4 linked regions of the Notamacropus eugenii genome follow. The protein of the gene in region 4 purifies or fractionates together with the protein of the main gene of each other region. This does not show direct contact. Links are inferred from orthologs where the notes say so. Each region holds a gene or a part of one and is shown on either strand. Other genes may lie near its edges.

Region 1 (7,461 bases), on a different chromosome or scaffold from region 4:
AATCAAGAGATCTTTTAAAATGATTTTTGTTTGCTTAATCTCTCTTGACATGTTCTCCTTCCCTCGTCCCTTCCACCTCCTCCCAAAAAAGTATTCAGAAATTGTGTATTTAACAGATTTACTATGGGTGGAGAAATTTTCCTTTTTTCATCAACAATAAAAAATACTTCTAAATTCCCATTTAAAAATGACGTGTAGATAAAAGAAAGTCTTTAATAAGGATTACAGTAGTGAAGGAATGTAAGACAAATCTATGGAGAAACAGTACATTTGCTCCATCCTCTCCTCTCCCCTGAGGGTTAAGGTGCAGAGTCATAATAAGACATCTTTCACTTGAAGCAAAAACAGATGTTGGGTGGGTGGTGGCAGCGGAAGGGTAGCTGGTGGTGGTACACTGGACAGTCCAATCATGGGCATAGTGTCCCTGGCATAGGAGCCATCCATTCCCTAGGTATTTCTGCAATTCTCAATAAGGTTTTGGGAAGAAGGTAAGTGAGGGGCAAGTGGGTTGCCAAAGGACGGTGGGCTGGGGCCAGGTGAAGGAGTAGGGGACAGGTCACATGCTACAGGCCTATGAAGGTTGATGAAGCACAAAGCACTGTGATGATGAAAAAAGCCCCCACCAGATCTGTTCTCCTTAACAGGGTTCTATACTCCAAAATTAACTAACCTTTCTTCCTCCCTGCTTCCTCAAATAAAAACTCATTCCTTCTGAGGTTAACTCCGCTAGATGCTAAGAGGAAAGGAAACATCCTTTAGTCTAACTGCCTCATAGCAGAGATGGGGAAAATTAAGCCAAGAAATGTGGTGACTTACTTGTCCCAAGTTCTTCAGGTATAAATGACTGATGTCTTCTCTCTGAGGGTTAGGGTAGAAAGTTTACATTTTAAAAAGGAATTGTTCTTCATCAAAATGAACCTGTCATTGCAAAATTTCAAGCAATAGGAAGGAGGGATTTTCTGAGAGGGAAAGAGGAGCACTTCTCTGAGGGCCTCTAAACTGTTGCATATATTTCCTGTTAGGCTGATCCTGAGTACAGACATTTAAGAGCACTTTTATTTTGACAAATGAGGGTTCAAAATAAATTTAAACCCTGGGACTTGTTTTAAAACTGTCCTCCCCCTTCAACCAAAACCTATAGACTAAAAATAGTGATTGTAATAATAATTTTTGGGTCAGGAACTGAGATTTTATTGGTGTAGGGACTGTCCAGAGCAAAAAAAGTATCTCCACTTACACTAAAGAGATCAGAGAAAGAAGAAAAGGACCTATATATATATATGAATAAATATTTAGAGCAGCTCTTTATATGGTGACAAAGAATTAAAAACTAAGGAAATGTACATGTACTAGAGAATACCTCCATAAATGATGGTATATGAATGTGATGGAATACCATGTATTGTAAGAAATGGTGAATTATAATAGCAGTAATAGCTAACATTTATGCAGCACTTACTACCTGCCAGGCACTGTGCTACATGCTTTACAGTTATTATTTCTTTCGATCCCCACAACCCTGGAAGGTAGGTTCTATTCTACAGATGAGGAAACTGAGGCAAACCTCAGTTTAAGAGGTTTGCCTACAGTTACACAGTCAGTAAATGTCTGAGGCTCTATTTGGACTCGGGGTACTTTTCTCCTGGGTACAACCTACCTGCTCAAGGGGACAAAAGGGCACAGCTGCAGAGAAACCCTGGAAGGCTGATGCTGATTGATGTGCACAGAACCAGGAGAACGATATATTCATTAACAACATTGTAGAGACAAACAACTTAGAAAAACTTAACAACTTTTAATCACCATGGTGACCAACCATGTTTCCAAAGGGCTCATGATGATCACTGCTTCTCACTTGCTGACAGAGAGGTAGGTGACAGACTAAAGTGAGAAATATGTTTTTTTTCTGGAAATAGCCAACATAGGAATTCATTTTGCTTGACTATGTATATTTGTTATGAGGATCCTTTTTTTCTTTTTCAGTGTGGAGGGTGAAAAAGTGAGAAATAGAAAAAAATTGTTGAAAAAATATTTTTGTGGAAATTAAATGCATTTCAGAGGAAACTCTGGACCAGTCCCATGTATCCACAGCAAATACCACATTATTATTTGTGCAAATCTGACCCTGATAACCATCCTTATCATATGTGTCTGACTTCTCCAAACCAACTTTCACCACTTACATGAGGGAGAAAGTGGTATAGTGGCTAGAGTTCTGGGAAGTCTTGAGTTCAAATGTTACCTCAGACGCTAATTAGCTGTGTGACCCTGAGCAAGCCCCGTAACATCTATCCCAGTTTCCTTACACATTTACCTTCTAGGGTTGTTAGGAGGATCAAATGAGATAACATTTGTAAAAAGCACTAAGCACAATTCCTGGAGCATAGTAGGGGTTATATAAATTATTGCCTTCCCTCCCTTCCTAGGTAAGGGACTGAATAGGGATAGGAACTGGATCTGTGATTTCCTTGTTATAGGGAACTCCACAGTGAGAAAACTTCATCTATCTGTATAAGTTGGTAGCTCTTTAAAACTTACCCTGAGCATTGAGAAGGTAAGGGACTTACCCAGGGTCACAGTGAAACCAGTTTTTGCTGGCTTTGAGTCCTCCAACTCAGAACTCAAGTCACTAAGAGAAGCTGCTTCATCATCATCATAGCAATCAACGTTTCTGTAATGCTTTACATGTTAACTCTTAATCCTCACACCGATCCAGATCCAAAGAGCTAGGTGCTATTATCATCCCCATTTTACAAATGAGGAAACTGAGGCAGACAGATGTTAAGTTACTTGCCTAATGATAAATGAGGCAGGATTCCAGTGTGCCAGCTCACATTATATTAGAAATGATAATTATCATTTGGTTTTTCATGTTATTAATTTTTATTTATTTGATAATCAAATTAAGATTCAGAAAAACAAAAGATGAGACAATTTGAATTGACTCAGCAATTTTTTTCTGTGCAAAATGATTCTAGCTTTTTCCTAATGTTACAATTGCTATTTTTAAAAAAGCAGACCGTTCAAAACTTCTTGTTTCAATTGAAGAGTACTACTAGTTTTATTTTAGTATTTTTATCCTCCCTTGGAGGCCCTCTCTGAGTCTGAGGCTCAGACAACATGCCCTTTGGGATCTTTTCTGATGGGGGCTGCACTCCCTTGCCATCCCCAGCTTCATGTTGGGCCCCTGGCGGGGCAGCAGAGGAGACAGCTGCCTGGGTTCCGGATCGAGGGGGCTGTTGTTCTCCCCCCACCCCCGCCCCCCAAGCCTGGCTTCCAGCCAGTTACTGATGGCAGTGGGGACGCTCAGACCGCAGCAGATTTAGGCAGGAAACTGACCTAAGGAAGGGGGATGGGAAAAAAGGGAGCAGCGCAGGGCTCTTAGCCTTGTTCCTGCTGGAGAAGTAGTTGGAGGTTCGTTTCAGATCTCCGTAGCCGGGCTTGTGCACCTGGGATCCAAGCCGTTAAAAAACATTTTTATAACTGCATTTTACTAGCTGGTTTGACACTAGTAAATGTAAAAGTAATAAAGAATAAACACTGAACTGCCCTTTGCCAGCGGGTTTCCTTTGTAAGCTTGTGCATTTTATATTATGCATCTGAAGACGTAATGCCGAGGGCTGGGGGTTTCCCCTGGCCAACACCAGACTGCAAAAGGGACCCAAACACCAAGAATGGTTCGGAGCTCCTACGGTTTGGGAACCGTAAATGCAGAACCTGCAGACCTGCAGTTGTGAAGGAGGCCCCTCACTGAGAGAATCACGGGCCACGTCAAGTCACTTACTAAGTGCCCACTACGTGCCAGGCGGCGGGGATGCAGAGAAAGGCCAGTTCCTGCTCTCGAGGGGCTCAGGGCTAAAGAGGGGGGCAGTGCAGATCAGCGGGGAAAGGCGGCGTGCCTGGGCTCACCGACCCCAGTCCTGTGCCCATCCTGGGGAAAGCCTACGAAGCCAGGGCGTGTGTTTACGTCTCCGCCGCCCTAGGACCCCTGGCCACGTGCAGTCACCAGGGGAAGGTTTCCTGAGCAGCTTCTACCGCGCTGCTCGGGTTTTCGGGACCAGATAGGGTCGGAGTGACCCGGGGCCACCTGGCACCGGACAGGTTTTCCTACAAGGAGCGGCCGATCCCAGGCGATGCCCGGAGTCTCGAGGACTGCCCCCATCCCAAAGTTGTTGAAAAGAGCCTGGGGGGTGGGGGGAGGAAAGGAGGACGGAGGCGGCGAGGGAGGCCGCCCCGCGGGGGGCCGGGGCGGAGAACTGGGGGGAAAGGGGTGTGGCCAAGGGGCTGGAAGAGCGTGGGGGAGGAGTGCGAGAGGGCGGGGAGGACCGTGCCGGACTCGGCTGGGAAGGAGGATGGGCTAGACGGGAGAGGAGGGCGGGAGGCTGGCAGCGGCAGGAAGCCGGGCCGGGCCGGGGGCCAGCCGGGGAGCGGAGGCGAGCCGCGCGCGGAGGCCGGCTGGGTGGGTGTGTGGCGGGGGGGAGCGGCGGGAGGCGGAGCCGGGGCAGCCTGCGCCGCGGCGGCCCCCGCGTGGGGTAAAGAGGGCGGCCGCCCGGCTCTCCCCGCACTGCACCCCGGGTCTGCCGCGGGCGAGGGTTCCCTGCTCGGCCGGCCGAGGCCGCCGGGTCGATGACGTGGACCAGCAGCATGAGCAGTGGCTACAGCAGCCTGGAGGAGGACACGGAGGACTTCTTCTTCACCGCCAGGACCTCCTTTTTCCGGAGACCTCCCCAGGGCAAGCCCCGCGCCGGCCAGCCAGTGAGTGGTGCCCTCGGGACCCTGCGGTGCCCCTCGTGTGCCTGTGTGTGTGTGCCTGTGTGTGTGTGTGCGTGCGTGTGTCGTGCGTGTGTCTGTGTGTGTGTGTGTGTGCGTGCGCTTCCCACGCGCACAGAACGTGCAGAGACCCCAGGACATGGCCCTGGAGCTGCCAGCCACCTCGTGCACCCCTCCCAGCCCTGGGCTGCTTCACGAAGCAGCCGTGAACTTGCAAGGGAACCTAAGGGACACCTTGATTCTCACTAACCTTTGGTGTCCTTCGGAATCCCGTTTTATTTTGTGCGTTTTAAAAAAAACTTGATTTTGGGAAACAATTCTCCACATCGCTCAAGGGTTCTGTGACCTAGAGTGAAGAACCCTTGACTAATTCTTTTTTCCCCAATTTACTGGTGAGGAAACTGAGGTCCACGGACAGGACAAGAACCATGGGTTTTTTTTCTTTTGCTTTTCTTTATAAAACCCATAGCCTGATGGTGGTTTGTGGAGTTGTGAATCCGGTTGTGGAGCGCTTAGAAAATCCTTAAAAGCGAGCGCCCTGCAAATGCGCTGCATTTGGGGGTGGGGAAGGTTCTCTGCATGGAGAATGGGGAGAAAGGGAAGGCTGTGCCGTGACCCCCCACTGTCACACTTACCATATGGTAGCTCCCGCTCCTTTGCCCGGGGCAGTGGGGCTTAGGCTGCTGCTCGCTCTTGTGGGTGCAGATGTACTGGGCTTGCTGCTGGGGTGGGGGAAGGGCGTAACCCAGACTTCCTAAGTCGGCCCGACGAGTGGAGGGTTCGTTCCCCTAACGAACCCGGAATATTCAAATCGGTTCAATTCACAAAGCGCCTAGTGAGCGCTCTTGGGCCAGGTTACCCCTTGGGACCTAAGAAACCCTATTCAGCCTGCCCGTTGTAGGCAAATAAATCCGCGTGGGGCTGAGCAACTGTGACTTTTCTGTCTGTACTGTGACGTCTCTCTTTGTCCCACCTTATGCCCGACCTCCAGGGTCATAACTGGTGTGTCCGTGACCTCCTTTTATGCCCCTTTGCAGGGGCAGGATGGATATTCTCCAATATAACTACGTTTGTGTAGGTCCACATTCTCAGAAGTTCTTCACTGGGTAAATTAACCCGTTAATTAGAGCCAATTTAATTGAGAGGAAAAATATTTCCAGACTTTGGCTGGTCTTGCCTAGAGGCAGAGTATCAGGGGACTCATTACTTCTGGAAGAGATAGGCAGAAGGGATCTTTAGACCCGACTAACCAACCATGACAATATTTCACTGAGTGCCTTTCCCATAACTGAACTGACTTTGGGTTGGGTTTCCAAGGCTGGGGCTTGAACTCATGCTGCCCTGGGCTCTGGGAGGGACTGGCAGCAATCACGTTAAAGAAGGTTGTCATGGAACAAATTTGTTGTTCCCCTTGGAAGAAAAAAATAACATTTATAACCAGACTTATTCTTGGAGCTTTAGGAGGGAGAAAATAGTTCAGGGGCTTGGGTGATGAGATAAAAATCACATTTTTTTGGTGCCGTGTAATCTCACTGTCAGGTTTTAGTTTCCAGTTCTTGTTTTTATCCCAGTGCTTCTTCTAAATACTCCATACTTTGAAGCATATCAGTCAATTCCTCACCTTCCACAGGGAAGTATTGTATAGAAAGTGCTTTAGGATGGCACTGTATAAAAGTGGGCTAGTTCTATGTAAGATGAAGGGGGCTTACTTAAGGCAAACCCTAGGCCCATCTTGGGAGCATTTTCTCCTTTTAGATTTGGAGCTCCTGGAGAGTACTGTCTTTTTCCTGTGTTTGCATTGCCATTTCTTTGCAGAGTGCCTGGCACGTAGTAGGTATGGAAATATTGGAATGATTTTATGGAATGATTTTTCAAGCCTTGTTGTCAGGATGTTTTTAGATCCTGGAGATGCTCATAAATAATGAATTAAATGTGTGTTAACAGAATAAGAATAATATGAAGGTTGAGGCCAGGAGCAGGCATCTCCTTCATATTTTAGAAGTTTCTAAAGAAGCCAGGCATGAGTGTTTCATCACTGAGGAGGAAAAAAAAGCAGGGGTGGATCCCAGTCTTCTGTTTGAGTTCTTCTGGGGTCAGATGACCTGGCTCTTTGATAGTATCTGTTGTTTTAGTTTCCAAACTGTCTCAGCTCCTTTTGCTACCAGAGGACATGCTTGTTTTGGGAGGAATTTTTGAGTGCTTTCCCCATATTGATTTTTTCTTTTTTTTCCCCATATCTTTTTCATTTGACTAGTTTCTCTCCAGTATCTCCCCCCTTATCTTTACCTTCTCTCCTTCCACTTTTGTTACCTTTAACATGGATGTACAGCTGCTAAGAGTGATTTTTAGTGTTGATTGGTTGTTGTCCTTCGTCTTCAAAGAGGACCAAAATGACATCACCATGATAAAGTGAAATTTCAGTGTGGCTGATCAGACCAATACAAGCTCAGAATGCTCTTCCACAGGTTGGGCACAGATAGTCCCTGTGAATATTTGGGGTGGATATCCCAAATTTGTGCATCCTTCATTTACTTTGTGTTGTCTCAATTCTGCTTTGCTCAAAGAGCGCAGCACCCTTTCTGATGTGGGCATGCCATGCTGAAGGGTCCTGTGCCAGTGTCTCCCATGTTGTACAGTCAAATCCAAAGTTCTTGAGAGAGATCTTGAGAGTGTCATTGTTTTGCTTCTTCT
Region 2 (6,964 bases), on a different chromosome or scaffold from region 4:
CCAGGACTACCAGACAACCTCAGGAGGTCTTTACTTCACTCTCAGTACATTTGGGCACAATATGCAAATCAAAAACACACAGGAAATCAATAGTCCCTTCTGGGAATGGAATAAGACACAGAGAGCAGTGACCTAGGAGTCAAATGATTGAAGTTTCTAGTCCAGGTTGTGCCACTAACTTGCTGTGTGACCTTAGGTAAGTCAGTGCCTCTCTCCAAACATTTGGTGGAAAATTAAGGAATTGGTCTAGATGATTTCTAAAGTCTCTTTCAACTCTAAAATTCTATGACTCTGTAGCAAGGTATATATTTTTAAAGCAATACCAATTCTTCTGTCACACGGATCAGGAAGCCACCTTTTCTCATCCCTTATGTCTTATTACTGATCCTTAGATCTATTTATAGCTGAAGAATAAGAAACCGAGTAATCAGTGATCTTAGAGCTAAAATAAGGGGAAAATTCAGCTATTATAGCCCTAACATTGTATAAGTTCTTTGTCAAGGACTATCATCCACAATAGGACAGTCAAATGCTTTGCCCTGTCTTACTGAAAACATCCAAATAGGGATACTCTTTGACCATCACCTTCAACTTCTTCCATTTGACTTGCTACTCCTCTGAAAAACTCAGTGCTTTTACTTATTCTCATGATCCACTTTTGGGGAGAAAGAAAGCATGGATTACTTTCATTTTTACCAGTATAAAGCTAAGTCAGCTAGTATGAAACAATGAGGGAGCTTGGAAACAAACTAAGGAGTCAATATCCCAAGTAAGAACTAAACTTAGCAGAACATAATGTTTCTCCAGCATCCCATCTGCATTTTCTCATCTCTACTCAACTATAAGTCTGAACAGGGAGAAACAGCAGCATAATTTCTTTCCAGGATTCAGAATCTTATTCCCTTCCAGCTCTAAAACCATACAATATCTTCTAAGACCCTGGGGAACCACAGCACAAAGCTCTTCTATAGTACTAAAACTAATTTCTAACTAGTTTTATTGCCTCAATCCATCCTACACACCACAGCAATGATAACCTTTCCAAATTAATACTTCTCATACCTAGACACAACAACCTATCATTCCAACCATCCCACAATACTTCCCTTCACATGATATGATGCAAGCAAGCTTAATTCATATTTTCAAAACATATACAATTATTTTCCTGCCTCTGGGTGCTTGCTCACACTATTCCATCTGCCTAGGATGCCCTCCTACCACTTCTGTCCAGTGAAATATTACTAATCAGTCTTGGGAAAGCTCAAGTCAAGCTCAAATGCCATCGCCCTCCCCTAAGGCAGAAGTGATCTCTCCTTTCTTTGAATTCTCACAGCATTTTGTTTGTAACATTCTTATACAACTATCCCACTCTACTTGGTATCTGTTTGTCTATGTATCTCATTTACCTTGCTGGGCTGCAGTTTACTTGATAGCAGGATCCATATAACTCATTTGGATTTATATCTTCCTTTAATGGCTTATTTATATGGTAGTTTGTTGTTGAATTGGCAATTCTCAAAGGTTTCACCCCCAAAGAAACAGGAGAGAGGGAGAGAAAGAGTAAGACATATATAATATCTATCTCACCAGATGCTTCTGATAGAGGTTGTTCCCACAAGTCTTCTTTCAAAGCCTTTCGAGAAGTAGTCTTGCCTGAATATCGTTTGTCCGTATCTACGATGGAAGCAAAGGCCCTTTTCCTAATGCTTCCCACACGAGTGAGGTCACTGTCTTCATCTTCACCCTCGTCAAATCTGTCAATAACTCGGGCAGCAGTGGCTGAAAGAAAAAAAAAGAGGAGGGGGAGGAGAAAGAGTCATTAAAAAGGTCCCCCATAAGAGGGCAGCTATTTACATCCTCCCTCTCACCCCCACTCCACCAACTCCAAGAAGTCACCCAATATCTGACTATGCTAAAGTGGAGCCAAACAGCACAACAGATTGCAACCAAACTGCATAACCCCCACTTATTTTCTCAGGAGCCATCTGTATATAACCAAATACACTGGGGGTGTGGGGGGGTGGGGAAGGAGAGAAAACCTAAGCAACAAATCAGGCCCTTCATATGCATGCCATATTATACAGTAAAATCAAACAATCATAAGCTTCTCCAAGGCCATTGGGCCTAGCCCCCTCACTTTACATATGGGGAAACTGAGGCTCAGAAAGCCTAACTGACTTGGCGCAGGTCCCAGAGGCAGGCCTCGGACCGGGTCCTCTGAACTCCACAGCCACTGCGTGCTCTTATTTGCATGGTCTCTCACCACAACCTAAGTTCCTTGAGGGCAGGCACTGGCTTAGCCTTTTGGTGCATCTCCAGCGTCTGGACCGGAGCCTGGTACGTAGCAGGAGCTTAACAAACGCTTTAGGCTGCCTGGTTTGCCCAAGGTCTCAGCGCCTACTATGTGCCGGGCACTGGCGAGAGGCTAACGATATAAATAAAGGCAAAGGGCAGTGTTTGCTCCCCAGGAGCAGGTGTCCGTATTCGAACCCAGTTCCTGTGGTTCCAACCCAGCACGCAAGCTGCCCCCTCACGACGCCCAGTCCCCAGACACCCGTGCCCAGGCCCCGAAGCAGTGCGGCTGGGGGCGTACAGCACACGCAGGACCGCAGGATGAAGCTGGGCTAGGGCCCAAGAGCCGCCCCCACCCCTCCCCCTGGAGCGCGGCCCCTACCCCTCCCCCTGGAGCGCGGCACCCAGAGCGGGGAGGAGCGCCCCCCACCCCGCACGTGGTCCCCGGGCCTGCAGAGCCTTCTCACTCACCCTCCTCGGGATCCGCCTCCGGGTCCGCCTCGCTCGGCCGCGGGTCCAACAGCTGCTCCAGCTGCCGTGACAGGGGCTGCGGGGCTGCCATGATCTCGCGACCCCAGCCTGCCCAGTCCTCGCGCGCTCTGCCGCCGCCTCCCCCGGAGCGGCTCCGCCAAACGCCGCACCGACTCACGCTCGCGGATCGCGGATCCTGCACCGGCAACTTCCGGGAGGCGCGCGGCCCGAGGGGGCGGGGCAGATGGGTAAGGGCGGGGCCAGCCGTTGCGTCACGGTAAACGGAAGGAGGGGCGGGGAGAAAAGGCGAGAGGGAAATTCAACGGAGACCAAGTATGCGCTTGCGTGCGAAAATACGTGCGTGCGTGGGGGGGCAGAAGTTGGGGGTGTGCGCGTAGCTGCGCCGTCCTCCTGCTAGGCTGCGAGGCTGGGTCTGTGAGTCTTTCGGTCGGTTCTCGCTGTTCTAGCCGTCCGTGACGGCTGGTGCGGGGAGAAGGGAGCCCCTGACGAATGATAAAGGGGGAGGCGGTCACCAGGAAAGAGAAAGGAGGAGAAGCCGGCGCCGCCGGAGCAGGGATGTCCGGCGGAGTGCGGCAGGCGTGTGGCGGGCGCGGGGGGCCAGCCTTGGACGAGCCTGAGCGGGGCATGGGCCGCCGGGGCACGTTTGCCAGGCTCTCCCTCTCCAGTCTCACACGGCTCTTTGTTGTTCCTCAACCAAGAAACTCCACCTACCCACGCGGAGATTTTCACTGCCTGAAGTGCTTTCCATCCTCATCTCTTCCTCTTGTCGTGTCTGATTTTCTTCAAATCCCAGCTGAAACCTCGCTTTCTGCAAGAAGTCTTTCCTGATTCTTCCTTAATTCTAGTGACTGCCCCTCTATGGATCGCTTGCTGTATGTCACCTCTATAGCTCACTTGTCCACAGTTGTTGCCCTGTTTTGTCTACCTTCGTTAGATTGTGAGCTCCTTGGGAACAGGGACTATTTTTTGCCTTTCTTTGTATCCCCAGGACTTGGCTAGGTGCCTGGCACATAATAGGCACTTATTGCTTATTTACTCTTAGCACACTGAATTTATTCTAGGCACAGAGTTCATCCCAGATTCTTCCATCCAAGGATGAAGTCAACTTCAGCCTTAGACATCCTGAAACAAATGTGTGGAGGCATTTCTCACATATAACTAAACCTACATAAGAATAATTAACATTTAGGTAGCACTTTTACAAAGCACTATACCAACGATACTCACTCATGGTGAGCCAATCCACCACAGAGAGATAAGTGCTACTATGACCCAAATTTTACAGTTGAAGCAAGTGAGGCTGGGAGCAGTTAAGTGACTTGCCCAGAGTCACAACTACTACGTGTGTGAGGCAAAAGTCAGATACAGGCCTTCCTGACTCCCCAGTCCAGCACTCTCTCCATTGCATTACCTTTCTGTGTACATATTCATACCCCTACATACACAAACTCATGAAGATAAACAAGTACGTAGCGAACAAAGAAAAAATAACTCTTCCCTAGGACAGATAAATGAATATGCACTAAGAACAACGGTTAAGTCCAACACACCTTTAAGTTCCCCTTTTCTTGGATCCACTAAGGGCCAAGGCCTTAGATAATCAACAAGCATTTGTTAACTGCAGCGTACCAGACACTGGGGTAAGTGCTGGAAATACAAACACAAGCAGAAAGATAGTCCATCCTTCAAGGAGCTTAGTTTATATTGATGGAGGAAGACAACACATAAAGGGGAAATAGAATGTGTGTGGGAGAAATGCTAGTACCCTGCTTGGGGGCATAATAAATGTCCAGAGGCAAGAGTGCAGTCTGGAGAGGACTGAAAGCATGGCTGACCTGGGCATCCCCAGAATGGAGGAGGTCTCCAGGACCTTCCTCCTCCATTGGAAGGAACTGGCTGATCGATGAATAAGGCCGAAGGGGTCGAAGGTACGTCCAATGTGAGGAGACCAAAAATATAGAATGAACTTCCAAGGTGAAGATTTTTTTTTTTAACAGCATGGCAGAAAAAACCCAGAGAATAAGAAATATAGTCTTAGTTTCTATGACCGTGGGACAGCAGAAAGTCTTCAGAAGTAAATTCTGCTTGGGTCACTCACAAAGACACAAAATCTTTGAAACAAGAAGAAATAAAAGGAAAAAAAAACCCTTTTCAGTTCCTGGCTTACAATATGACCAAGAAAAGGAGGAACAAGAGATGCTCCATGAAGGGTTGCAGCCACGTGCAGCCCACCTGCTGCACCATCTGCCCCCACTGTGTGCCCAAGGACAAGGCCATCAAGAAATTCATGATCTGAAATATAGAGGAAGCTGAGGCCATTAGGGATGTATCTGAGGCCAGCATTTTTGACTCCTATGTGCTGCCCAAACTGTATGGGAAACTGCATTACTGTGTGAGCTGCAGGATCCACAGCAAGGTAGTGAGGAATTGATCCCTTGAGGCATGAAAGGAGGTGCTGCCTCCAGACACCCTTCCCCCCCCAAAGCCCATATAAAGAGCTATCTTCCCATCAACATTCATGAACAGATGAGAGAAAAATGAAATGGTTGTTCTACCTGAAAGAAAGAAGGAAAGAAAAGGAAAGGAAGGAAGAAAGAACAGAATAGAAAAAAGCAGCATGAAAAGTAGAAGACCTGACCTGGGTACAAAGCCCACCAGGCTTACTACCTATGTAATGTTGGATAAATCATTTAATTTCTCTGAGCCTCAGTTTCCTTCTGTTTAAAATAAGAGTTGGACTAGATGACCTGTAAGCTCCCTTCCAGCTCTACATCTCTGATCCTGAGATCAGATCCTAGACCTGAATGTAATCAGACTTTATTAGAGGTCTACAGAAAGAGACAGGTGTCCAGCAGGTTCCTAGTATCCTGGATCTTGGGTGCCTATTGAGCCTGCTTTGTCCCAGAGCTTAACTGTGGGATGCATCATGTATCTTTACTGGAACCTCAGGCATATTTAATGAGATCACAGGTTCTGCAAATCCTCCATTCCACTCTTCATGGAGCCCTACTCATAATCAGAATCTTTCTTCAACCTAAACAACTCTCAAAGCTGAGGTTTAAGTTCCTGAAAACTGGACAGGCAAAGGAAGAAGGATTAGTCTTCCTAGAACTGACCTACCTGGAATATTTGGAAAGTTGAATGGAAGCTGCTGGACACATAAGTCTCAATCAAAGCCTGGAGAATGATTCAGGAATTCAGAGGCAGTTTTCCCTCCATCCCTTGTGATAGTTTCCTCATCTATCAAATGGAGATAATAGCATTCTTACTACCTACTTTACAGGGTTGTTGTGAGAAATAAATGAGATAATGTGTTTAAAGCTCTATATAAATGCCAGTTATTATTACAGTAGCTGGAGGCTCCAAGTCTGTGGCCCTGAGGGGGTAGGCTTACTTGTATGTTGGTGTAGACTACTTTTGGCAACCCAAACTGCTTTTAAATGAAGAAGCTTCTTTTCCCACCTTCATTTTCAAGGGTATCTCTATTCTTTCCCCATTGCTAGCTTTCTCTCTTTTCTTAATATTAGGATAGATATAGATTTAGAAGATGTATTAAATGTCACCAAATTCAACCTCCTCATTTTCATATGAAGAAACAAGTCCAGAAAGATTTGCTCAAAGTCACATAGGTAGTAAGTAGCAGAAGCAGAATTCAAACTCAGGTCTCCTGATGCCAAATCCAGCCTCTTTTCCATAAAATAATGCTTCTTTTTGCTTCTTTGGGGGTTATGAACTTTTTAAAAAGTGACCATCTTGAGGAGGGAAAGAGAAAGCAGTGAAGGGAGGAAGGAGAATGGAGGTAAAGATTATTGGCATTGTACAAACATGGGAGTTCTCAGGCATCATGATGCCCATGGGTGATGGGAAGGAATCTATAGAGATAATCCAGTCTTTTTTTTTCTAATCAGCTCTGACCTTTTGCAGTTTCTAGTTCTTTTTATCTTTCTCTGGCAAGACTAAAGAACAGCCAGCTGTTATTTCCCACAGGTGACTGGGTCCTGGAGCTTGAACAACAAAGCACAAAAGCTTCTAGACTTCTCAGCTCAATGAGTGGAGGGAGAGAAGTTCAGGAAGCAATTAGGTGCGCTAATTTTGACTCACCGCTTTATCACCAACTACTAGTCTGACCTGGGCCTCAGTTTCTTCACTTATAAAATGAAAGAGTTTCACTAGAAGA
Region 3 (7,063 bases), on a different chromosome or scaffold from region 4:
AAAAAACAAAAGAAATCCATGGAAATACATTTTGTAAAGGTAAGAGCAGTACAGTTATGTACCAAATTCAGACGAGACTTCAAACAGAAAGCTACTCGGAAAGAAAGCAAAACGGACCAGAAGAGAATTTTTCTAACTTTAAAGAACCTTTCCAATTTCAATACTTTTAAGTTTGGAACTTGGATGCTGCCAGAACTCAGGAGTTTAACAAAGTACCTCTGACAAAGGAGCACAGAAACAAAGAGGAGGGCTTAAAAAAAATACTCACTCGTCCACAGAACCAGCCAATGGCTTCTTTGATCGCTTTATGGCATAGATACATCCATCCAGCCTCTTTACACACTTAAATACTGAACCAAATTCTCCTGACCCAATCTTCTCCAGTTCATGAAATTCACTTTCATATCTTGATTTCATGTTACTTTCTGTAATTGTAATTCTCTGTAACAACAAAAAAATTGACTGTTTCAAAAGTATCAAAGTCAAGTCAACAGAAGATGGCACCAAAGAAGAGGAGGCTTGAACAACCTACCTTGGCAGGTCTGGGGGTCTCATCTTCAAGCTCCCCATCACTCGCTTCCATGTCTTCATCACAGGAACTGAAACAAGAATTGGTGCTCTCTGCATCAAATATACTTGCAAGACATATTCCAACCCATGCTCTCAACTTTATCTGGCAAGTCTATACAGATTACTAGTGGAATTTTCATAGGAGGAGGCTGAAGATGTAACCAAGTATTGCTCCCTCAAAGGTTTTTAAGGTAAGATTACTAATCAGCTTAGTTTATGGTGAAGACCTTCACCCCACATTTGTTTTCTGGATTCTATGACTATCAAATATTATATCTGGTCCAGCCCAATGACCTGGACGGTAATTCCCTAACCCTACTACAAGTGTCTCCCAAAGTCCTTCCAAGTTAACTCTCCCAACCTAGAATTTAATAGAACCTTTGAGTTGGAAGAAGTCCCATCATCTAACAGCTATAACCCCTTCACTTGATAAAAAACACTTCCCTGAGAGTGTCTCAACTCTGCTTGAAAACTTCCAGTGACCAGGGTCTCACCACCTCTTGAAGCAGGCTGTATCACCAACAGCACTCCATCTCTCTAACTTTCCCTTCTTATGACTATTCATTACCACCTCTAATTTCCCAGCTCTCCATGCCTTCCTCCAAGATGTGCAGGCAACCTTTTATTTCTTCCTGCTCTACAAAGATCCTTTTTCAACAGGAAATAGCACTCATCATTTTTACAGCTAAACACACTGCTGCCACTCCAGAACCTCCGGAACACAACAGTCTAGACGCTAACTGTGAACAGGACCATTAGTACAAGCTCTTGGGGATCACACCGTCCAATGACATACTCGTTCCAATGCGTCCTCTTCCTTCGGCGGCACTGGCCGGAAGAATGCAGCAACATCGAGTCTGGAGTGAAGGGGTTAATGTTCACTTGGGGGGTCTGCCTCATGTCAAAGCCTGGCTTGTCGGCTCGTCCCGAGCTCATGAACAGGGAGCCGCCTCGGAGCTTCACGGAGCCGGAGTCTATCCCTCGGGCTTTGGACAGCAAGCTCTGGACGGTGAGGAGGAGGGAGGGTCAGCGTTAAGGACGGTGGGCCCACCGACAGCTGCGCCCGGCCAGACAAGGCGGGGCACCCCGGCCCGGGCCGATCCCCCGGTGCAACAGACCCCGCAGCCGCCCCTCGGTGAAGCGGGCCCTCCCCTCTGCCCCGGCCCCGCAGACCCCGCGCAGCCTCCATCTTAAGCCGCATAAACAGGGGAGGGGACGGCGCTCGGCTGGGAAAGCCAGGCATTTTCGAGAACTCCTTTCTGGAGCCATCTAACGTTTCCAGAGGCTTTTCACGCTGGCTGGGCAGAGGAGACGCTCATGCTCTCAGCAAACGTGAGCCCAACGCCCAGGGTAGGTGTCACTGGAGGACACCCCTACGTGAGCTGAAGCCCGGCAGCGGGGCGTGCCGTGCGGGTCTTCACGCACGTGTGTACACACACACACAGACAGACACAGACACACAGACAGACACACACAGACACAGACACACGGGTCTCAGCTCCCTCGGGCGCGGGGCTGGCTTCCCCCGCACAGCCCCCCGAGCCCCCGCGGCCGAGCCCCGCACCCGCCGGGCGGCTCCCACTAAAAAGACCCAGGGACACAAGCTGACAAGGCCGGGGGCTGGCTCTGCTCCCCGGCCGTCCCGCGGCCCGGCCCCGGGGAAGGCGCAGGCTGCGGTTACATAAGCCCAACGGCCACTAGCGAGGGGAGGGCAGGCCCGGTGCCCGGGGCTCGGTGCCCAGGGCGGCCGGGCGGCTAGGTGACCGCCCCCGCGGCCCCGTGCTCACCTTCGGCGTGTGCGGCGTGTCGAAGAGCCGCAGCTTGCGGAAGGTCTTGTGCGGCGGCGTGCCCGGGTAGTCGGGCACGGGCGAGCAGGAGCCGTCGCGGCGCTGGCGGCCGCGCGGGGAGCGGTCCCCGCGGAGCGGAGACAGGGGGCTGCCCGGGTAGTAGGGGGCGGCGGGGGGCGGCGACTTGACCGGGGACGAGGAGCCGAAGCCCTCCTCCTCCCACGAGTCGCCCTCGGCGCCGCCCGCGCCTCCTCCGTCGGCCGGCGGCATCTCCTCCTCCGGCGGGCCCGGGGCCGGGGCTCGGGCCGGGGCGCGGCGGCGGCCGCCGGGCTCGCTCTCGGGCTCCGTGGCCGGCCCCGGGGCGGCGGGGCTGCGGGCGGGCGGCAGCGGCGAGTCCGGCTCCTGGAAGGCGGAGTCCTCCCCGGTGCTGTGGCCGCTGCCCTCGTCCTCCTCCTCCTCCTCCTCCTCCTCCTCCTCGCAGTCGCTGCCCGGGGAGAAGATGAGCTTCTGCCGCAGCGCGCAGGAGCCTCCCGGCCGGCCGCGGGGCGGCGGCGCCTGGTGCCGGCTCTGGAAGCTCATGGGGGCCGGGGCAGGGAGCCGGGGCCGAGGGGGCGGGACCGCCACGTGCGGCCCGGGGAGCTCCGCAGGGGCGGCGGCGGCCCGGGCGGCCTGGGCGGCGGCGGCTCCTGCGCCTCGGCGGGACGTCACCGCGGCCCCCGGCGCCGACCGGGGAAGGGGGGCGAGGGCTGGGGTCGCGGCTCCGAGGCGGCAGGGGCGGCGGCGGCCGAACCGAGGGGCTGCGCGGCGAGCCGATCTGCCTGCGAGGTTCGGGCTCCGCGGCTTCCCGCGACCGTTAATCACGTGAACGCCCAACCTACCAATCCCCGCCCCGTCTGGGGTTTGAAAAAAAAGGAGGGCGCTACGTTACCCGCGGGAGGAGGGTACGTGCTACGCGATTTTGGCGCGAAATGTGTGGCTCCGCCCCTCCCCTACACGCACGTAGATAGAAACACACAAACACAGACGCACGTCGGTCCAGGGAGAGAGGGGCGGGGCGGAGAGAGGGCGTGGCTAGGGATGCTGGCCTATGGGGGACAGGGTGGTGGAGGGACCCTCCCCACGAAAGGGGCGGAAAGGGAAAAGAGAATGGGGAGGAGGGAGGGGGGAAGAATGGGGGGAGGGGAGAAAAAGAATAGTAGAAAGGGGGGGGAACTGGTAGGTGAGAAGGAGGAGGGTCAAAGTGGGACGGTGGGGAGGGGGAGAAAACCGGGAGAGGAAGAGGAGGAGGAGGGGGAAGCGTGGGGGGAAGGGGAGGGTTGCGAGGCGCAGACCGGAATTTTTGGGGTCAGTGGAGAAGGGTTTTCCCCCGGGGTGCTTTCCCTGAGCTGTGATGGGGAAGAAGGGAGGGCCCCCGGGGCCTGGGCGCCCCTGGGCTGGCCCCCTGGGGTGAGCGGTCACCGCGGGGCCCCCTGCTGCGGCCAGGCAGGCGGAACAGAACTCCGTCCAGCAGCTGAGTAAACACGCGTGTGCAAAGTCCACGTCCGGGCAGACCTTGGCAGCCGGAATCCCGCCGAGGACGTACCTGCTGGGCCCCGAGTGGGGTGCCCCTCCGCGGTCCGGTCACGCGTGGGCTCTGACCCTGGCCTCAATCCCCTCGTGGGTCCGGGGGGTGGTCGGGGGCGGCCAGCCCCAAGGGTCCCGAGCGTTGGGGGCGCAGGAGGGGATCTAGATGGGCCCCCCACGAAGGGCGTCCTGGTGTCACTGTCCAAAGGAGACACCATCAGACTTTGGAAAGACGTCCACGGTCGGGGCGCCCCAACCAGGCCAGACGAGCCCAGGAACCTTGGCCTCCTGTCCTTGGCTTATCTCCTGCCCTTTGGGGTCCGTTAGTCGTCTTCTCCTCCGCGCCCACTGTCCCCGTTATCACCTCCCGGCAGATGCCACCCAAATATACCCAGCCCCGAGCGCCTCTCCTCCCGGAGCGTCCTAGTGCCCTGTTCCGTGCCCCAGCCCACCTGTCCTGGACAGAGCCAAGGACTTTCCAACTTCCTAGTTAACATTTTTTAAATTTTATTTTCCAATTCCAAATTCTTTTCCTCTTTCTACCTCCCCCCATTGAGAAGGCATAACATACTACCCTTTATACATATGAAAAATACAATTTCTGTTAAAATGTGTGATCCTCCTCCAGTCACCAGGATCCAAACCTTTGAACCATTTTGAATTTTCCCCTCTTTCTTATCCCCAACTTTAAAGAATCCCACCCATCCATCTCCTTTTTTTTTTTTTTAACTACCTCTGGTTGGGGACCTCATCATCCCTTTTAAGTAACAACCTCTCCAGTGGTTATACATGGCTTCTCTTTCAAATCCATCCATCACATAATGTTAAAATAATCTTCCCTGACTGTCAGGTTAGAGACCATGTCACTCCCATCCCAAAGATTTCAGTGGCTTCCTACAGGATAAAAACCACAGGTTCCCAGATGTAGGGAAGGCAAAGAACCCAGGAGTCATCCCCTCCCACCTCCTCATTTTACAGAGGAGGAAACTGAGGCTCTGGCTCAGCCAAGGTGTTCCTCCAACTTCACCACCACCCTTCTTTCCTTTGGAGTCTATGCTTTTGGTATGGAAGACCCTTCACACTAGGGCTCTACCCAATCTCCAGCCTTTGATCCTTCTGTCTTTCCACTAGCTGTTTCCTAATTTTGTCCTGACCTCTCACAATTTCCTGTATTCACACAGTGTGCCCACTGGAATGCAGTTTCTCCTCATCACTCTTTGAATAATTTCTCTTCTTTGATCAGCTCAGGTGTCCCCTCTGTGAAGCCTTCTCTAATTCCCCCCACCCCTAAGCAGTGGCATCAGACTCAAACAGAAAAGGGCCCACTAGTCTGTACATAAAAACCCTGCCAACCGAATATTGACTTTACTTTGAAAATGTTATGTTATCTGGATTTTATCATATTTTTATTGATCTTGTCAAATATATCCTAATTACATTTTAATCTGATTTGGACAGTACTCAGGAATATTAACCCTATGTTTGCCCCCTCTGATCTAGGGTCAATGTGACCTCCCTTTTCTTCCTCAGATACTCCTAACCCTCTGGATCTCACCTTTCTTCCTATCACATTAAGCTCTTGGGCATATTCATTTAGGTTCTTCTCATCTTCTGTATTAATTGTCATCTCCTTAACAACTTGGATAATGCTGTTTTTCATTCTTCTATTTCCCTTGGTGCTAAACACAAAACCCTGCAGGTGGGGAGTACTTAATAAATCACTGGTAAATTGGATGTGTGTCTTGTCTTCCCAATCCGACTATAAGCTCCAGCAGGCCAGGAATTCTTTGTCTTGTACCCAGGGAGATGCTAAAAGATTGCTGCTAGGTAATTAGCAATAATTGATACTTTACATTTTGTTTGAGCCTAACTACAAGCTTATGAGATAGATTGCAGAGGAGTATGGTTGTTATTCAGTCAGGTCAGATTCTTTGTGACCCCATTTGGAGTTTTCTTAGTAAAGATACTGGAGTGGTTTACCATTCCTTCTCCAACTCATTTTACAGATGAGGAAACTGAGGCAAACAGGGTGAAGTGATTTGCCCCAGGTCACACAGCTAGTGTTTTCCTGACTCCAGCTCCTGGGCTTTATCCACCATGTCACCCAGCTGCAGAGGAATGTAACTGAATTCAAATCCATCATCAGACACTTAGTGGACCGACTGAGCTGTCTGCCTCAGTTTCCTCACCAATAAAATGGAAATAATAATAGCACTTCCCCCCAGAGTTAATATTTGTCAAGCACTTTGCAAATCTTGATGAGCTCTATAAATGCTAATAATAATAGTTGAGTAGAAACACGCACATATGGGATCAGGGTACCACTTGCCCGTTCCAGGCTGCCTTCCTCTTAGCGCCCACGGGGGAATATACTCTGCCAGGCAGATATATTGAACCTCCCCTTTTCTCAGGTGAGAACCCCATACCTCCAACTCTTTTTTTACCCCAGGTGAAAATATGCCTAGCTGAAACTATGGTAGGGAATATTAACCCTATTCTAGAGATGAGGAAATTAAAGCTCAAGAAAAAGAAATAAAATGGTCCCATAATTAGTAATGAATGCAAGAGAATTCGAATCCTGGTCTTGTGAATACCCAGCTCTGTTGTCTCTTTTCCATTCTGCCACAGGAGAACATCAGCTCTAGCGTGAGGTCTGCCTTTGTCTGCCTTGAGACTTTAGAGGTGAAGGTGCCTTTTTTTCTCTAAGTAAAAGTGGTCAGATAAGAGAAACTCTCCCCCAAGAACACAGCGCATCCTGTGCACAGGCTGGGGCGACCAGAGGGTATGGTAGCAGACTGCAGCTCACCTTTTAAATGGCCAATCCTGGCTCCCTCTGTGTTGGGCTGTTTAAAGGGAACTCGGCGTCTCCAGCCTCCCAGGCTGCAGAGAACGGTTCCCACCCAGCAGCCCCGGGGCCTCCTTCCCTTCCTCACCCCGAGATGTTGCTCAATGTGCTGTTGCTAGGCAATTTTTGCCCAGTCCATACAGTTTTTGATAATGTTGCAATAACCGAAGAGAGGGCAAGTTCTTGCTGCTGGTGGTTGGGCAAGCAAACTTAACCTGTTTGTCCCCTTTAAGAAACAGGACTGAAAGAGTGAAAGGCCTTTTGTGGGGCCAGACATTCCTCTGCTCCCAGCAGAGGT
Region 4 (7,419 bases):
CTACCTAAGTGGACTCATAAAACAAACTTTCCTGCTTTGGGTTTTTTAAACTTTCACAGTAGTAGATCGATTGGGTTCTCTACAGTTCCTTATCAATTAAAGAATTTAAAAACTGGTGTAAAAGATCTGTTTATTTATAGAATGAGGATGCTGCCCCAATATAAACCAAAGAAAAGTCTCAAGCAATGATCCACTGATACTATTTCTAATTTATCAGTAGATACTGTCACTCAAGCTTTAAATATATTATATTTACCTGCCCTAATATACCAACACAAGTACAAAAAAAAAGGCTTTGAGGAAAGGCTTTAATAGTCTTAACTAGTTTATCCCACAAAGAACAGCAAAGTCTTAGATGAAGCTTCTACCCCACCCCCACCTGCACCCCCTTATAGCTTTAGGGTTATTAAACATGTTCTATGAATATCCAGATGTGTTGTACATCTGGTAAAGAGTTTGCTTTTATTTTTTTTCACTAGCTTTAGAAGGCTGTCTTGTTAGAACAGAGACAAGTACTGTCACATTAGTCAAAAACTTTTGTGGTCTAAAGTTTGAACCTTAGAAGATTAAGATTTTAGGCTTTGAGACTGAAAAGTTCATTTTAACATAAAGATGTTGGTCTTCATTTATACTTAACCAAGTAATTAGGAAAACAGATGATTTGTAGTTTTTTTAAAAAATAAGTATTCAGTTACCAAGATATGCAGCTCATTATCAGCCTAATCAAACCATTTTTGTTTCACAATGTTTCAATATGAAAAATTCTGCTTAAAAGTTTAGACTTAAATTTCAATCTTAAATGTTTATACTGTTTAAGTATATATGAGTGGTAGTCCTTGTTACAGTATCTTTTGCCAGAATAACATACTGTAAGTGTGTATCAAATGCCTAAATAGATTACTGCTGGCTATAAAATACTGCTAAAAAGCAAAATTACTCAATAAATGATCGATATCATGGTTTGTTTTTTTTTAATGCCACAAATATACTATACAAATATACTTTTTGAAAACTTTCTGGGGAAAATGATCTGGTTCTAGTGTTCAAAGCACTGAGGAAATTTAGTTATCTAAATAAAGCAAAAAGACAGTAGATATTGAGCTACCTCCATATTTAAGCTACTGTACTTCCATCTGAAAAAAAAATGTGGCTCTGTCCTTAATATATCAACATCTACTGAAACTGGGTAGCTATCCAAAGGGCATTCAGAGTAGTCACCATTTATTATTTATAGCATTAAATGTGGAAGTGGCTCTGATGTCACTGACCCTACCTAGTGGAATCTTTGACTCAATAGGCATTCATGAATTGAGAAAAATCTGACTATGAAAACCTTCTGATATAATTTGACAAGTGATTTCTGTCCTCCTTTCCTTCAACTCAGGGAAAAACTTGTTACTGTTAGACTAGATACAAAGAAACCATCAAGGTTTCTGTAGCAAAAGTGCTGGGTAGAGAAGCTAATACAGCCTAGACTAGAAACTAGCCTTAAAATACTGGTGAATGTGCACTAAGTTATCCACCCAGCATATTCCCTATGATTGATTTCCTCAGCCGCTAAAATTGGCAGGTACCACCTGCCATATATACGTCTTTCAGTCAGTCATCATGGGAGAAATAAGAAATTTTAAAATGCTCCACTTCTACTACTGTTACTCTTCCTTATACCATCCTGTCACCCATTTCTGCAAAGACTTGTTTTGGTTCCAGATCCACTTTCCCCAGGCCTGGAGCTCTGCTCCCTAACCCCGCACTGGTTTCTAATACAAGGCTGATTTACCCCATCAATTAGTCATAGCCTCTTGCTTTTGCAGAATAGTTGGAAGGTACTAAGGGCCTATCAGGGCTTCACTGTCCCTGCAAACACAGAAAAAAATGAGTAAACAGCTACTCTTCCTTTCAGTTAAAATACTGTATCCTCAGAGAAGCCTCTGAGCCCTCCAGCGTGAAGCAGCTGCCGGGATTTCCGCAGAATGTCAGAAGCCCTTTGTCCGGATCAACCCCAATAATCCAGTCACCAGAGAAGCCCGGGAGATCCGGGGCTATAAATCAGTCACTCCCAGAAAACCGAGCTCCCGGAATACACCCAACCGATTATCCGGAGCACTCACAGACTCTGCGCTCTTACTCGGGTCGGGGGGGACGAGGGTTAGCTACTTCAAGACTGAGGGTGAAGGAGAAAGGGGGTGCACTGAGGCCTCCGAGGCTTGAGGAAGAGGAGGATGAGAAGCAATGGCGACTGGGGCTTCCCTGACCCTCCTTTTCCATTCTCTTCTACCTCTCTCTTAGTCTAGAGGGGAAAAGGGGAGGGAATCACGAGAAATGCAGCGGGGGCAGGGATGGGGGTGAGGGGGAGAGTGCAGGCTCGGACCGGGCGGGGCGGCCCAAGGCTCCGGACTAGGTGGATCAGCCAGGATGGATTTGAGGGGGAAGGGGTCGGAAAGAAGACCCTTTGGGGTGCTGGGGGCGTGTGTTTGCCTGGTGGGGGTAGGCGGGGGGAGGGGCAAAGGGGACAGGATGGGGGAGGGGAGATCACCCGGACGGCGGGTCGGGGTCACGGGCCAGGGAGCAGGCAACGGGTCCTCGGGAGCAAGAGTGGGGACTGGAGGGGGGAGGGGGATCCCTGGATCGGGTCGGCGAGCCAGGAGTAGGGAGGGGAAATGGAGAAAAAGATCAGACCCGAAGAGGAATCGGGTGGGAAGGGAGGGCGGGGGGAGCCAGGACAGGCCTCCGTCGGGGAGTGCTGGGGGGAGGGGAGGCGGAATCGGGGCTGTGGGAGGGTTCGGGCCCTCCGATCGCGCTGGGCAGGCCCGGGGCCGAGGGTCCGGCGGGGCCGCACTCACCATGAGCTCGATGGTCTTGTCCTCGATCACCGAGTCGGGCTCCATCGCGGCACCCGCCCCGCCTCCGCCTCTCGCTCCCCGCAGCGGCGAACGGCCCCGGAGCTGGCGGCGGCGGCGGCTGCGGCGATAGTGGCGGCTGCAGCGGCGGCGGCGGCGGCGGCAGCGGCGATCGCACTCTCTCTAGCTGCCCGCCCGCCCGGGCCGCCGGCAGCTCCGCCCTCCCCTCCGCCAACGCCGTAACGCAACTCGGGGACTACAGCTCCCAGGAAGCCCCGCGCCCAACTACAGGGCATACCGAGCCGGGCGGCCTGTCCGCCGCAGAGCTTCCTGGGATTGAAATCCTGGCTCTAGATTGATCCCTTCGCCTGCGAATGCAGCCTAAGCCTGAGCTTCCAGAGGACGCCCTAACCTTGACTCTGTTCGTCGGGAGTTAAGACCGCTACATTTTGGGCAGAATTGGGGTTCCTGAGTAAAGAGAGTTATTGAGGCGTTCATGAACTACACATCCCACTAGCCTCTGCGGTCGGGCCTTGTAGGTTTCGGTGCTTCCGGCGCGCTTCCCCGAAACTACTTGGGTACCTTGATGACTGTCGGAAACCGTAGTCCTAAAACAGGAGCGGAAACTCCAAGACGACTTAACAGTCAGTGAGGCCCTGCGCGTGCGGCTAGTTTCCGCACATGCGCAATCTGTCCCCGTTCGCTCCGGCACCCCGAAGAAGGGCCGCGGAGCTTAATTAAGGGGTGACCTAGAATAATTCGTGTCGGGGGAACCCCAGGGGCGAATCAGGCCCCGGAGCAGGAAGGGTTGGGTTGTGGGGTTCTTTATGTTGGAGGGGTCTAGAGTCGTATGGGCCTGAATAGGGAAGGTACCCAGTAGCAAAATGGGGGCGGGCGGGAGCAGGGAGAAGTTGGTTTGTGGAGGATGTTGGGTCGGGCCTTGGCAGGAGGCAGGAACCAGAGAACTGGCAGGTACCGGGCTCTGCGCCCTGCGAGGTGGAAGTTCACTCGCTGCATGCTGAAGGGGGAATAAATGGGTGGAGGGGCCCGAGGGCATGCAGTTCCCCAGCGCTAGTGGGACTTTAGACATCAGCTGGCCCAGGAATCCTTAACCTTTTTTGTGTCGATCCTTGTGATACAAAAATGAAAACTACTGATCCAGTCTCAGAATAAGATTTTAAATGCATGATATGGAATATGTGGTTATAAATTATTTTTTGTGCTTAGCACAATAAATTTTCTATTATGTTTTAATAGCAAGCTCATTTTTAAACTTATAAGGAAATATTATGGCTCTTGAAGTGCATTTGGTGCTTTCACCTTTACAAAGTTTTAGATGAAAAGTTCAGAGTTCAGTAATAAGTGCAAAGAGCCCTAGTTAAGAAAATTCCTGACATATAGGCTTTTTGCCTAACCTTATGTTAAATCTCTTTCTAACTCTTGGTTAGTGGTTGAGGCAAAGTTCATTTTACAGGAGACGTTTGGGTAAGGAAACAGGAGATTATACTGTAATATCTATAGAGCTGACCTTTGATTGGGACTTGACTCATCCTGGGTCCTCTTCTCCAAGATGCAATTCTCCTAGATACTTCCTTGTCTTCCACTGTTCAGTATTCCCTTTGCTCCTCCAACCTCTTGAATCCAGTGGCTCAGAATCTTTCTCCACTCACTCATCCCAATTCTACTTTCTTCCTTTTATACAAATTGATAAAGAGTGGGATCCAATCTCTCACAAGGAGCCAGTTCAAACTCAGTTCTGATTGTTTGATTGAATCAAAACGTTCTCATCTACTATGGGGATCAGAACCAAATGGGATAGTTTCACTATCACCTTTATACAAAGTAAACCAATTATAACTAAATCTGGGTGTGGTCATGAGCCCTTTTTTTTTGTCTTCCCTAGGTACTGTTTCACTGAGTGATCTCATCAACTCCAGTAGTTTCAGTAATCTTTTCTTCTGATGATTTTCAGATCCAATCTCTCTCCTGACCTCCAGTCCCACTTCTCTTTTTATTAATTTGTTTTCAGTTTTCTACAATCACTTCCATAAATCTTAGATTTCCTCCCCCTTCCACCCCCTCCTTTTTCCCTCTTTTTCCCCTCCCTTCCCCAGAAAGCATGCAATCTTACATGGGTTCTACACATACATTTTTACTAAATACATTTTCACCTTAGTCATGTTGCATGGAAGAATTAAAAGGAATGGGAGAAATCATGAGAAAAAAAAACACAAGAGAAAATAGTCTGCTTCATTCAGCAATCCAATTCCATAGTTCTTTCTCTGGATGTAGAACACTCTTTGCCTCAAGAGTCTATTGGGAATTTTTTAGGTCCTTGCATTGCTGTGAAGGGCTGAGTCTACCAGAAAAATTCCTCTCCTTGCACACTGTAGTTGTTACTGTGTACAAAGTTCTCCTGGTTCTGCTCCTTTCACTCAGATTCAGTTCATTTAAGTCCTTCCAGGCCTCTCTAAAGTCTTTCATTCATCATTTCTTATAGCACATTAGTATTCCATTACATTCATATACCACACCTTGTTCAGCCATTCCCCAACTAATGGGCATCCCCTTGATTTCCAGTTCTTGGCCACCACAAAGAGAGCTGCTATAAATATTTTTGCACTCCAGTCCTACTTCTCCAACTGCCTGCTGCCCATCTTGAATTGGATGTCCTGTAGACATATTAATCTTACGTATCTAAAACTGAACTCATTATCTCCTACCACCTGTAAGTGTTACACCACCCACAATCTCCTCCTCTCTTCCTAACTTCCCTATTACTCTTAAGAGTACCATCATCTTCCCAGTCCCCAAAGCATCAGTTTAGGTGTTATCTTTGACTTATTCCTCTCACCCTCATTCACAATCTATTGCCAAGGCTTGTCAATTTTATCTTTGTAACATATCTCCAATTTGGCCCCTTCTCTCTGATCCTGCCACCATCCTGGTACAGGCAGGCGCTCATCATCTCATGCCAGGACCATTGCAATAGCCTGCTTATTGGCGACCTGCCCCAAATCTCTCCCAATTCTAGTCCCTACTCCATTCATCTGTCAAAGTGATCTTTCTAAAATGCCAAGTCTGACCATATCACCTTCCCTTCCCCCCGCCCTTCACCATTAGCTCCCTATCACTTCCAGGATCAAATTTTAAAATCCTTTCATATTCAAAGGCCTTCATAACCTTCATAACTATCCTACCTTGGAGATCTTCCCTCCCTCCCAACCCCCACATACTTTTCAATCCAATCTTCCTTGCTGTTCCTTGCACAAGATACTCAAGTCTAGCTCCATGCCACTTCTGGCTGGCTGCCCTACTTGGAATACTCTCCCTCCTTACCTCTACCTCATGGCTTCCCTAGATTCCTTCAAGCCCAACTAAAATCCTACTTTCTATAAGAAATGTTTCCTAATCCTCCCTAAAGACCTTCCCTCAGTTGATTATCTCCAATTTAACTACTTAAGATTATTTGTACATAGTCATTTGCATGTTGTCTTTTCATTACACTGAACTCCCTGAGATCTGGGGCTTGTTTTTGGTTTTTGTTTTGTTTTTTGCCTTTCTTTAAAAACCCCAGTACTTAGCACAATGCCTGGTACATAGTAGGTACTTTAATGAACACATCTTGTTGTGATTAAAAAGTTATCAAAATATTTCTTTAAAAAGTTTTTGGACTCCAGATTAAGAACACTTTTTGGTCCAGTCCCTTGGAAGGTACAGACAAAAGGGTAGGAAGAGATCTGGGAAAGCTGTGTCTTCAAAACCCAGGGAGGAAGGAGTATTCAGGAGGAAGGGATGGGCAGTAGAATCTGATGCAGAGAGGTCAAAAAGAATGAGGGAGATTCGAGTGTATGCCATTAGATGTAGTCATTTAGAGATCATTGGTGACCTTGGAGAGAGCAATTTCAGTTGAGTGATGAAGCTAGATTTCAGTTGCAAAGAACTGAAAAGTAAATGGAGGGTGGAGGGGTGGAGAAGACAGAGTCAATGGCTTAAAGAAGGCATTTTCCAGGAGTTTGGCTATGCAGCAGAGGAGAGGTATAGGACAAGCTCTCAAGGAGATGGTATGATCAAGTGAACATCTTTAAAACTAGGTTAGGCCTAACCATATTTGTAGACTGCAGGTAAAGGAGCTAATAGGGAGAAATTAAAGATTAGAAGTTGGGGAGGTTTGATGAGTCAAGATAGGAAAAGGTCTAGATACAAAAATGTTAATTGCTGTCCTTAGAATGATGGGATTTCAGTTAATCCATGATCAATGGGCTGTTTGGAAGTAAAATAATTCTACTAAACTAGAACCTATACATTCCATGAGGTATGAAATTCAGTATGATCCCAAGCCATATTGGACTTCTTCATCCAACCCAATCCAGTATCCACGGTCAGACAGCTAGTAGCTCACTCTGCTAGGTTCTAAGGAAACGAAGGAACCTGCATTCTGCTAAGGGGCTCACATGTAAGTGCATACATAGATTCATGATAGTTTTAGTTGGAGCTTAACCACTAAGGGGGTGCTCCCAATCCCTTCATGAATTCACATTATATTTATACAGTCATTACCATGGAAACTTTCAGTTCT

What was found.
Region 1: the proteins of FBXW11 (region 4) and RASSF3 purify together in Homo sapiens (affinity purification with mass spectrometry; 4 studies listed by BioGRID and IntAct, with this or other methods). This does not show direct contact. The link is inferred for Notamacropus eugenii from reciprocal best matches to the Homo sapiens genes FBXW11 and RASSF3.
Region 2: the proteins of FBXW11 (region 4) and AATF purify together in Homo sapiens (affinity purification with mass spectrometry; 3 studies listed by BioGRID and IntAct, with this or other methods). This does not show direct contact. The link is inferred for Notamacropus eugenii from reciprocal best matches to the Homo sapiens genes FBXW11 and AATF.
Region 3: the proteins of FBXW11 (region 4) and WEE1 purify together in Homo sapiens (affinity purification with western blotting; 6 studies listed by BioGRID and IntAct, with this or other methods). This does not show direct contact. The link is inferred for Notamacropus eugenii from reciprocal best matches to the Homo sapiens genes FBXW11 and WEE1.

Annotation. Positions count from the first base shown.
Region 1 is NC_092874.1:241,330,302-241,337,762, forward strand, and holds the start of RASSF3 (ras association domain-containing protein 3), read left to right. Parts: upstream 1-4,446; 5' UTR 4,447-4,626; coding exon 4,627-4,755; intron 4,756-5,405; exon of another isoform or gene 5,406-5,492; intron 5,493-7,461.
Region 2 is NC_092873.1:375,686,330-375,693,293, reverse strand, and holds the start of AATF (protein AATF), read right to left. Parts: upstream 3,003-6,964; 5' UTR 2,858-3,002; coding exon 2,767-2,857; intron 1,783-2,766; coding exon 1,591-1,782; intron 1-1,590. UniProt on the Homo sapiens protein: Part of the small subunit (SSU) processome, first precursor of the small eukaryotic ribosomal subunit.
Region 3 is NC_092877.1:35,862,456-35,869,518, forward strand, and holds the start of WEE1 (wee1-like protein kinase), read right to left. Parts: upstream 3,012-7,063; 5' UTR 2,937-3,011; coding exon 2,358-2,936; intron 1,573-2,357; coding exon 1,367-1,572; intron 600-1,366; coding exon 533-599; intron 442-532; coding exon 269-441; intron 1-268. UniProt on the Homo sapiens protein: Acts as a negative regulator of entry into mitosis (G2 to M transition) by protecting the nucleus from cytoplasmically activated cyclin B1-complexed CDK1 before the onset of mitosis by mediating phosphorylation of CDK1 on 'Tyr-15'.
Region 4 is NC_092872.1:403,849,768-403,857,186, forward strand, and holds the start of FBXW11 (F-box/WD repeat-containing protein 11), read right to left. Parts: upstream 3,017-7,419; 5' UTR 2,889-3,016; coding exon 2,844-2,888; intron 1-2,843.